2 linked regions of the Oryzias latipes genome follow. The protein of the gene in region 1 interacts with the protein of each later gene in a pairwise test. Links are inferred from orthologs where the notes say so. Each region holds a gene or a part of one and is shown in the gene's direction. Other genes may lie near its edges.

Evidence for each region.
Region 2: the proteins of wasl (region 1) and arpc3 interact in binary tests that used the Homo sapiens proteins (3 or more experiments, as listed by UniProt). The two-hybrid records come from large-scale screens. The link is inferred for Oryzias latipes from reciprocal best matches to the Homo sapiens genes WASL and ARPC3.

The regions. Positions count from the first base shown.
Region 1 is NC_019881.2:13,550,347-13,554,188, forward strand, and holds part of wasl (neural Wiskott-Aldrich syndrome protein), read left to right. Parts: intron 1-858; coding exon 859-993; intron 994-1,154; coding exon 1,155-1,241; intron 1,242-1,636; coding exon 1,637-1,733; intron 1,734-3,154; coding exon 3,155-3,178; intron 3,179-3,202; exon of another isoform or gene 3,203-3,842. UniProt on the Homo sapiens protein: Regulates actin polymerization by stimulating the actin-nucleating activity of the Arp2/3 complex. Involved in various processes, such as mitosis and cytokinesis, via its role in the regulation of actin polymerization.
Region 2 is NC_019870.2:16,796,340-16,800,852, reverse strand, and holds the start of arpc3 (actin-related protein 2/3 complex subunit 3), read left to right. Parts: upstream 1-1,622; 5' UTR 1,623-1,749; coding exon 1,750-1,755; intron 1,756-2,129; coding exon 2,130-2,229; intron 2,230-2,750; coding exon 2,751-2,827; intron 2,828-3,290; coding exon 3,291-3,359; intron 3,360-3,491; coding exon 3,492-3,618; intron 3,619-4,513. Other genes in the region: gpn3 (GPN-loop GTPase 3), read left to right, coding at 38-153, 820-916, 1,009-1,137, 1,224-1,289. UniProt on the Homo sapiens protein: Component of the Arp2/3 complex, a multiprotein complex that mediates actin polymerization upon stimulation by nucleation-promoting factor (NPF).

The DNA.
Region 1 (3,842 bases):
TATGAATTAAATTGTAATATTTTAGCAATGATTCTCAGCAGAGTGGAGAAACATTGGTTGCAGAAATGCTACTTTGACTCAGTCAAAAATAAAGATGCAAAGCACAAATGCACATTTTTTACAATTTAAACATGTATATTAGCATAAAATCACACAGACTTTTCTTTTCTATTTTTGCTCCTATTTGGACAACTTTTCATTTTTGAACAAACATTTCTATAATAATTTACACACATGTAAAGGTGACCCTGAATACTGAAAGACATTTTTCCCAAGGTTTTATTTGAACATCAAATTCACCAATTTTTCTTTTACATATAATCTATTACACCCTAATCTATATTACATCAATAAGGTTTAATGGGATACAAACTAAGATCAATGAGAGCAGATGAAATACTAAACAAATACAAATTTCCTAAGGAAAGGCTAGAAAGCTGAAGATGCCCCTTACAGTCAGTCCAATTGATGAAGTCGGACTCTTTTGCTCACTGGTAATCCTTTAAGTCCAAAATCCTAAATTTTTTTTAATCTTTTAAGTCTTGTTATATAAAATGATTGGTAGGCTGGGTCTGAGACATTGATGGTATTTATAGGAAAATGTTGTATCTATTTAATGAAGATGTTTAGCAATAATTCTTGTTTAAATGTCCTTTATCGCTGCATTGCAGTTACAGATATTTACCACAAGAGGGTGCTATAGGGTCTGGAAAACAAGAATTAGCTTTTAGAGTGATTTTTTTTTTCCATATAGTTTCTTTTAGTTTATTTTCTGCAAAGGTTGTGAATAAAAAACAAAGTGTCTCCATAAATGTTGAAATTTTAACTGCTGGTTTTTCTGTTTCTTGTCCTCTGCAGACACTGTCTTCAGCTGTGGTCCAGGTGTACACAGGTGATAGGAATGGCAGCTGGAACAAGAGATGCTGCGGGGTGGCCTGTCTGGTCAAAGACAACCCCCAACGTTCATACTTCATCAGAGTCTTTGACATCAAGGTAGCTTCAAGTCAATCTTCACTTTTACTTAAAGACTAGTAAAAGCACATTTTATAGTCAAACAATCCAAATATTTAGCATTAAAAGCTTCAGCAACTGTTAGATCCAGTTAGATTTGTTGGTTAATAAATGTGGTTGTCTCGTTTGTTTCTTGATGACAGGATGGCAGAATGATGTACGAACAGGAATTATACCAAGACTTCAAGATGCAGATGCCCAGGACTTATTTTGCAACATTTGCTGGAGATGTGAGTTCTCCGTTCGGAAAGAAAAATCCAGTTTTCTAAATGCACATTTCTGTGGACAAATACTTCCCTTCTTTTCGTAAAACCGCAGTTAGAGAAATCAAACTCTTTTGTGGGTTGTAGACATTAAATATAGTTGTTTCATATCCTTCAACTGTCCTAAAATAAAATAAGATTAATCTAGTATTTAGAACATTTTTGTTACCAAATTTTAATATCTTTTTTTTAATTTACTAATGGAATTTTCAAGAACATAAATGTTATTTCCATGAAATAATAGTTCAGAACTACTGCAAAAATGTCCAAAGTATGTGTGTGACACAGAAGAATAGCAGACAGGACTGATCGGAACTAGTGAACAGTTCTGTATACATTTTCCCGCATGTGCTTTCTGACAGACGTGTCAAGTGGGCTTAAACTTTGCCAACGAGGAGGAAGCAAAGCGTTTCAGAGGCAGCGTGTCAGAACTGATGGGAAGAAGACAGAGGAGAACTGGTACCTTCCCTTTTTCCTCAGCTTTGATCTCATAAAAAAAAAAGACAAGATTTACAACTTTTGTGTGTGGAAAAAAACTTCTTTTTGACATCTGGCGTGTAAAGCACTAAATTGGAAATGGATTTTAATAATAAAAAGTAATGGATGCAAATACTTAAACAAGTTGACTGTAAATGTAGCAGCTGATGTTCTATCGGATAGATCCGGCTGGATTAGCACTGTACTGCTTATCCAATCCACCTTTTTTATTTAGTTAAACTTGCTTCAAAGACATTTGGAGCACAAAAAAATGAAAATGTAAACTTGTCTTTTTTTTTTTTTTAACTGTATTGACACAGAACTGAGCAAAAAAAAAAACACTGATAAAAGGTGTAACCCTATAATTTATTAAAACCTTATTCCAACTATGAAGCAGAAATCCAGCGGGGCTAAAACATATTTTTCAGACACCGATTCTACTAGTTGTGATCTCTGATGAACATTACAGACTTCTCTCATCTTTTTAAATTGGTGAACTTCCATAAGCTATGACTGATGAATAGCAGTGGCTGTAATTTATCATTTTCCTTCATGTTTTTCTTTGCTCAGGTCCGTGTTCTGCTGCCGTTCGGTTCTTGTTCTAATCTCTTGCGGTCTCTTTCCTGCTCAAACTCTCCAACCTGTCACTGCTTAAGCTGTTACTCCGATGTTTGGGCTACACACTGAGGCACAAGTTGTGCTTCTAGCTTTTTGTTTCACAAAAACTAATCACAAATCCAATAAACTGGTGCTGCAAGAAAAAAAATAGATTTGTCAAAGTCACAAATTATTATTATTATTAGTGTTCCACACACAGCTTTAGGAAAAGCTGATAATAAACGAAAAAGACATTGATCCTGTTTTGTTATATTTTCATTTCTTTCGGCACCATCATTTGTTTGGAGCTCAGAATATCAGTTTTGATTTCCTCATAGGAACAAACGTTCACTGTTATAGTGTCATGGTTTTTATACAGCCGTCTTTCTTTTACTTTCTTTCTTTGACATTTCTTTCAGATGGATCGTTCTCTGCCGCCGTTTCTCCTCCAAACCCTTTTGTATTTAACACTTATAACCTCGTTTCTGTTTACCTTCCAAATACTAGACAAACAAGCAATTAGGACCTTAAGTAATTCATGTTTGTGTCCAGCTCTGAGACTCTGTGCTTTCATCAACCCCACTTTTCATATTTTATTCAGTAAGGGCAATCAATTCAAGTTTCCTCCTAAATCCACTAACTGACCTTTTATTCTGAAAACCTCCGATCTTTGCTGCTCCTGCACAATCCCGCCGACTCCTGCGCCAAAACCTCAAATGATCCTCCTTCTCTCCTAATGCTAACACCGATTAACACAACCTGCTGCTCAGCCACGGATTGTAATGATATAATTTGTGTTTTCACAGAGAAGAGACGTGGCCCTGCAGATGGTATGTTTGTTGAGTTTTTGTATGTTTCCTTTTGAAAAGCCAGCTAACTGTGACATGGGATTGTATTTATTTGTCACAAATGTCACATTTTTTGTGATTTTTTTTTTTCACAAGTTGATTCTTCCTGTTTTCACCGTGAAAACCTTTAAATTTTTTAAACCAAAGACATGAAATTCATTACTTTGTCGATTTTAGACTTTTCTTTTACCCATTAGGATAAAAGGTGATTCCTCACTTTTTGCTGTGAGCATTTCTGAAACAAATGTCCATAAAGTCCAGAAGTAAAAATAGAGGTAAAACAAATAAAACCACACCTGGTTTATACCATGACATCTTTTAATCCCCTTTAAATTTGGTCATGTGACTCCTCAAAAAACCTTTGTTGAAGTGTGTTCACCTGCTGATCAAAGACAGGAGACTCCAAAAAAAACGTAAGGATTTTCTATAGTCTCCACTAGATATCAGTTTATGTGAACTAGGTGATGTTCTTTTTGGGTAATCTTCCATCTCCTGATGTCTGTCACTACCTCTTTAGCCTTGTAGATGTAAATGATCACACTGCTGTCTTTATTCTGCTTGGTCAGGTGAGCCAGAAACACCCTGACCCTCTGAGGTCCAACTATCTCGCACAATGCTGTGGAATAGCATGGGGCTCAAAACACTG
Region 2 (4,513 bases), on another chromosome or scaffold:
CTGATCAGCACCAGCTTTTCTCTTTGTTTCCCTGCAGTTTATCTCTGGAGTCATGGCTGCCCTCAGCGCCATGGTGTCCCTGGAAATTCCACAAGTGAACATCATGACAAAGATGGACCTGCTGAGCCCCAAAGCCAAGAAGGAAATTGAAAAGTACGGACAAAGCACATCTGCCAGCTTTCAGAAAAAAATTAAAACGCCACAGAATTGATTATTTACAACCATTCTTAATACAGTCAGAAAACAAAATCAAGCAAATGTAGAGATTAATTTAGAAAAATAGAAACATCTGAAGAGGTGAGTTTGGAAAAACTAAAGAAAAGCTGCCTTTATTACTAGTTTCTTACAGATTAAAACCCAGCAAGTTCCACAAGGTTCCACTTAATGATTGGAAAAATAAACTTAATTTATTTTTTGCCTACATACATTCATTTATTAAAAGTAACGTTTAAATATTTACAATAATTAAACTAAAAATGATAAATATATAGTGATAAATTTAATATTTTTATGAAGTCCAAATACAACAGAAATTATTTAAAATACTCACTTTTATTGCCAGTAATGACATATTTTTGATAATTAACAGTTTAGCAAGTATTTGCTGACTAGAATTTAGATTTCTCAAAGTGTAGGTTGGACCTGCTGGGAAACAAACATAAAGTTTTGCTTATGGTTTTTGTTTTTCTATGTTAAAAGCATGAATGAACACTTTTGATTTATTTATTTTGATTTTTCTTTAACTGAGTGTTGTAAGTTTGCAGAAGTAAGTAAATGTTCCTTCATGAAATGCGTGTTTGTGTTGTTGTTTTTTTGAAGGTATCTGGACCCAGACATGTACTCAATGATGGAAGATAGCTCCCATACAATCAGAAGCGCCAAGTTCAAGAAGCTAACCAAAGCTATTTGTGATCTTGTAAGTGGACTTGCAGCTTTGTGGCCTAATCTGTTGTCGTGTGTCATTGCTGATTTTTTAAAATTCTCTAAACATTTGGCTTCTTTGTCCAGATAGATGACTACAGTATGGTAAGGTTTCTGCCCTTTGACCGGACTGATGAGGAGGGTATTAACATAGTGCTGCAGCACATCGACTTTTCCATTCAGTATGGAGAGGACCTGGAGTTAAAGGAGCCAAAGGTGAGAACATCTCTAGAGAAAAGATGATTTCTTTGATCTTTGATCTTTTATGTGACATTTGAGGTTTTGCTTTTTGTCTTTTGCAGGAAGGGGATGAAGAACCAGCTAATCTAAATTATGACGAGATATTCCAAGACACAGTTGGCAGCTGAAGCTGGAATCCAGATACAATAGTTGACAACGATGTTTGACTGATTGAAAGGTTGCATTGACTGCATGATTTAAACAAAAACAAAAAAGAAAAGAAATTTGAGTTTTTTATTGGGTGTTTTTTAGCCTCATCGTTTCGTTTTTTTGTTTTGTTTCTGTGTTGATTCTGTGGAAAACTCTGATTTATTATCAAAGGAAGATATAATGCTATTTATTTTTTCTAATAAAATCAATAAAACACATGCCTTGTTGCTTTGTAAAATCATAAAGTCACAAACTAAAAACAAAATGTCAAAAATGGCCTTGTAAACTCAAACCACGTGTCAGCGCCCCCAAGTGGTTGCAACGCCACATGACATCCAGCCACTTCCTGTAACTCAAAGGGTGCGACAGCCGGAAGTAGCGTCTCGCTGTGCTGACATTCCACTTGCTGAGCAGTTGGATTGATAGATTTCAGTCAACATGCCGGTTAGTAAATACCATCCTTCATGCCTTTTTTCAATGTTTATTTATTAGTTTTTGTGTGTAAATTTTGCCGGCTAAAGCAAAAATAGCTAGCCTAAAATTCTGGTTAACGCTAGCTTCACGATGATGAGTCTTTTAGCTTAGCTTATGCTTGCTAGCCTCTTTGGCATTTTAGCAATTTTAAAGTTTCGCACGTATAAATGAACAAATCTGTTGTTACTTTGTGACGTTTACACTTATTTTGACATTACCTGATTAGGGAGACATGGAAAGTGGCGGATTACTGATTTTGTTACAGTGATATATATGCGCTGCTGGAATATCTGAACTGGTGGTTCTGATGACAGCGATGTGTTCCTGTTTCTTTATAATGTCAGGCATATCACTCCAACCTGATGGAGCCGAACACCAGGATGATCGGAAACATGGCCTTGCTCCCCATCAAAACTCAGTTTAAAGGACCAGCGAGGGGAGACGGTGAGCATTTTTCATGACCCATTCACAGGCTGGTGCAACTGCATAAATGTTCCGTCTGCCGATACAAATCCCAAACTACCAGATAGGTTTAATGACCAAAAAAATCTCCTCTTGTTTGACTTGGCACCATTCAGAGTTTTACATGCATAGAGCGTCTGCTCAGTTCCTTATTTAAGTGTCAGCTGAACTTCCTTTTATGGTCTGAAGTCAATCCCCAGGTTGGTAGTTATTGACTTGTTTTATTTAGGTCGAAAAACCTCCTTTATTGACGTAGTATGGTATCTATTTTTTCTCTTCAAGTGTTAAAGAATTGCATTTTTTTTAAAAGGTGCTCAATTTTGCAATGTTTTTGTCTGTTTAGTCGCTATCTTTCAGATTTAAGAACAAAAAGCATAAAAAATGGGCTTCTGAAAAACAGGAAGTGACATAATTTTGCCCATGGATATTAAAAGGTTAAGTGGTAGTTAATTAAAAAATGTATAATATTGGTTTGCTAATGCGTGAATGTTTTTTTTCTCCAGGTGTAGAGTCTGATATAATTGATGAGGCTATTTACTACTTCAAGGCCAACGTCTTCTTTAAGAACTACGAAATCAAGGTATGAAATCCAAACTTTTCATTTGAAGGAACTGACAACTTATGTTTGTGGAGTGTTTACCACTCAGTGTTATTTTATGTTTATATTTTTGAAGGCCTAAAAAGTTCTTTACTTTTTAGATTATTTAAAGTTTGATAATCAATTTTCTAAAAAAAAAAAAAAGTACCTTTATAACATTTCATTACTTGTAAATGTTTTTTAAGTCCCCAAAAACCATGTAGCCATCTGGTGCACTCAAATCTGTCTTTAGTTTCTTCTCCCTGCCTTTTCTGTATCTTGCAGCTGCTTCACTTTTTTCCTTCTTTTCATGTCCCAGCGTGTTTTTTTTTCCCCCTACTTTTGTCAGGAATGCAATCCTTTCATAGCCTTTTTTTTCTCTTTAGGATAACGACAACCATTTCCTTTTCTGTCATTCAGAGCGGACCTTAGCGCTGACATAAACATTTGTGTGTCTCTTTTTCAGAATGAGGCCGACAGGACGCTTATCTACGTTACATTGTACATTTCTGAGTGCCTGAAGAAGTTACAAAAGGTAAATTGGAAGTTGGTTCTGGTAAATTTTGCTTTGAAACGTAGAAAAAAAGATTTTGTTGTACTTAATCTGTTTATTTTTGAAAGTTTGATGCTTTAGGAAAAAAAAACTGTCATTTTTTGCACTTTCCAGTGTAGCTCCAGAGGGCAGGGAGAGAAGGAGATGTACACCCTGGGCATCACAAACTTCCCTATCCCCGGAGAGCCCGGCTTCCCTCTCAACGCCATGTACGCCAAACCTGCGAGCAAGACGGATGAAGGTGAGAATCAAACGCTAAACGTAAACTCCATTTAAGCAGTTCTCCATGCTTAATGGAGTTTAGCGAGGACTAAAGCAGACAACGGGAAGGTAGTTAAGTGAAGAGCGACCCACAACACATCAGGTTTCCTCCTGCTGCTTCTGTAAAGTAGTTATCACCTTCTGCAATCTAAGCTTTTTTTTAAATCTTTTTTTTTTTTTTTAGAGGTGAAGGTTTTAAGAAAAAGATACACAAAAGATGATTAACCCTATTGTTTATTTGTTTATCTTTACACCTGGTTGCCAAGCTGGACATACAAAACTTTAAAATGACAAATAAAAAAAGTGGGATAATTAGAATATGCATTCAGTGTTTCCTTAAAAGTAAGGGAAATCACATCCATAGAAATGAAATTTCTTAATAATTTGGAGTTTTTTAAAGATAAAGTAGCAATTTTTTCTTAATAAAAAAGGTAGCAGATAACGCTTATTTATGTGGACACATCAATAGGGAAAAACTCTCTGAAATGCATTTTCTAGTCTACTGTACCTTTAATCCAGATATTCCCTTATGGTATTTCCTCTTATCTTGTATTTTTTAAGCTGTGCTTAAAGCAATAAATCAACCTGAACCACGACTCTTGTCCTGCGGGTTGTTTTTCCGATTCTTGAAAAAGTTTTACCATCTAAAAGTCTGATGTTTGCACGAGTTTTTTTTTTATATGACGTTAGATCCAAAGAGAGCAGATCTTTAATAACTTTAGAGATGACAGTCGGACAATTACTGTTCTGGTGATGACCCCGTGAAACACCGTTTTCAGAAATGTGACCTTTTATCTCATTTTTATTTGCACAAAAAAAAAGAAATAGATGTGGTTCAAGCATTGATCCTTGGGGCGCACCCTTAAAGACCCACT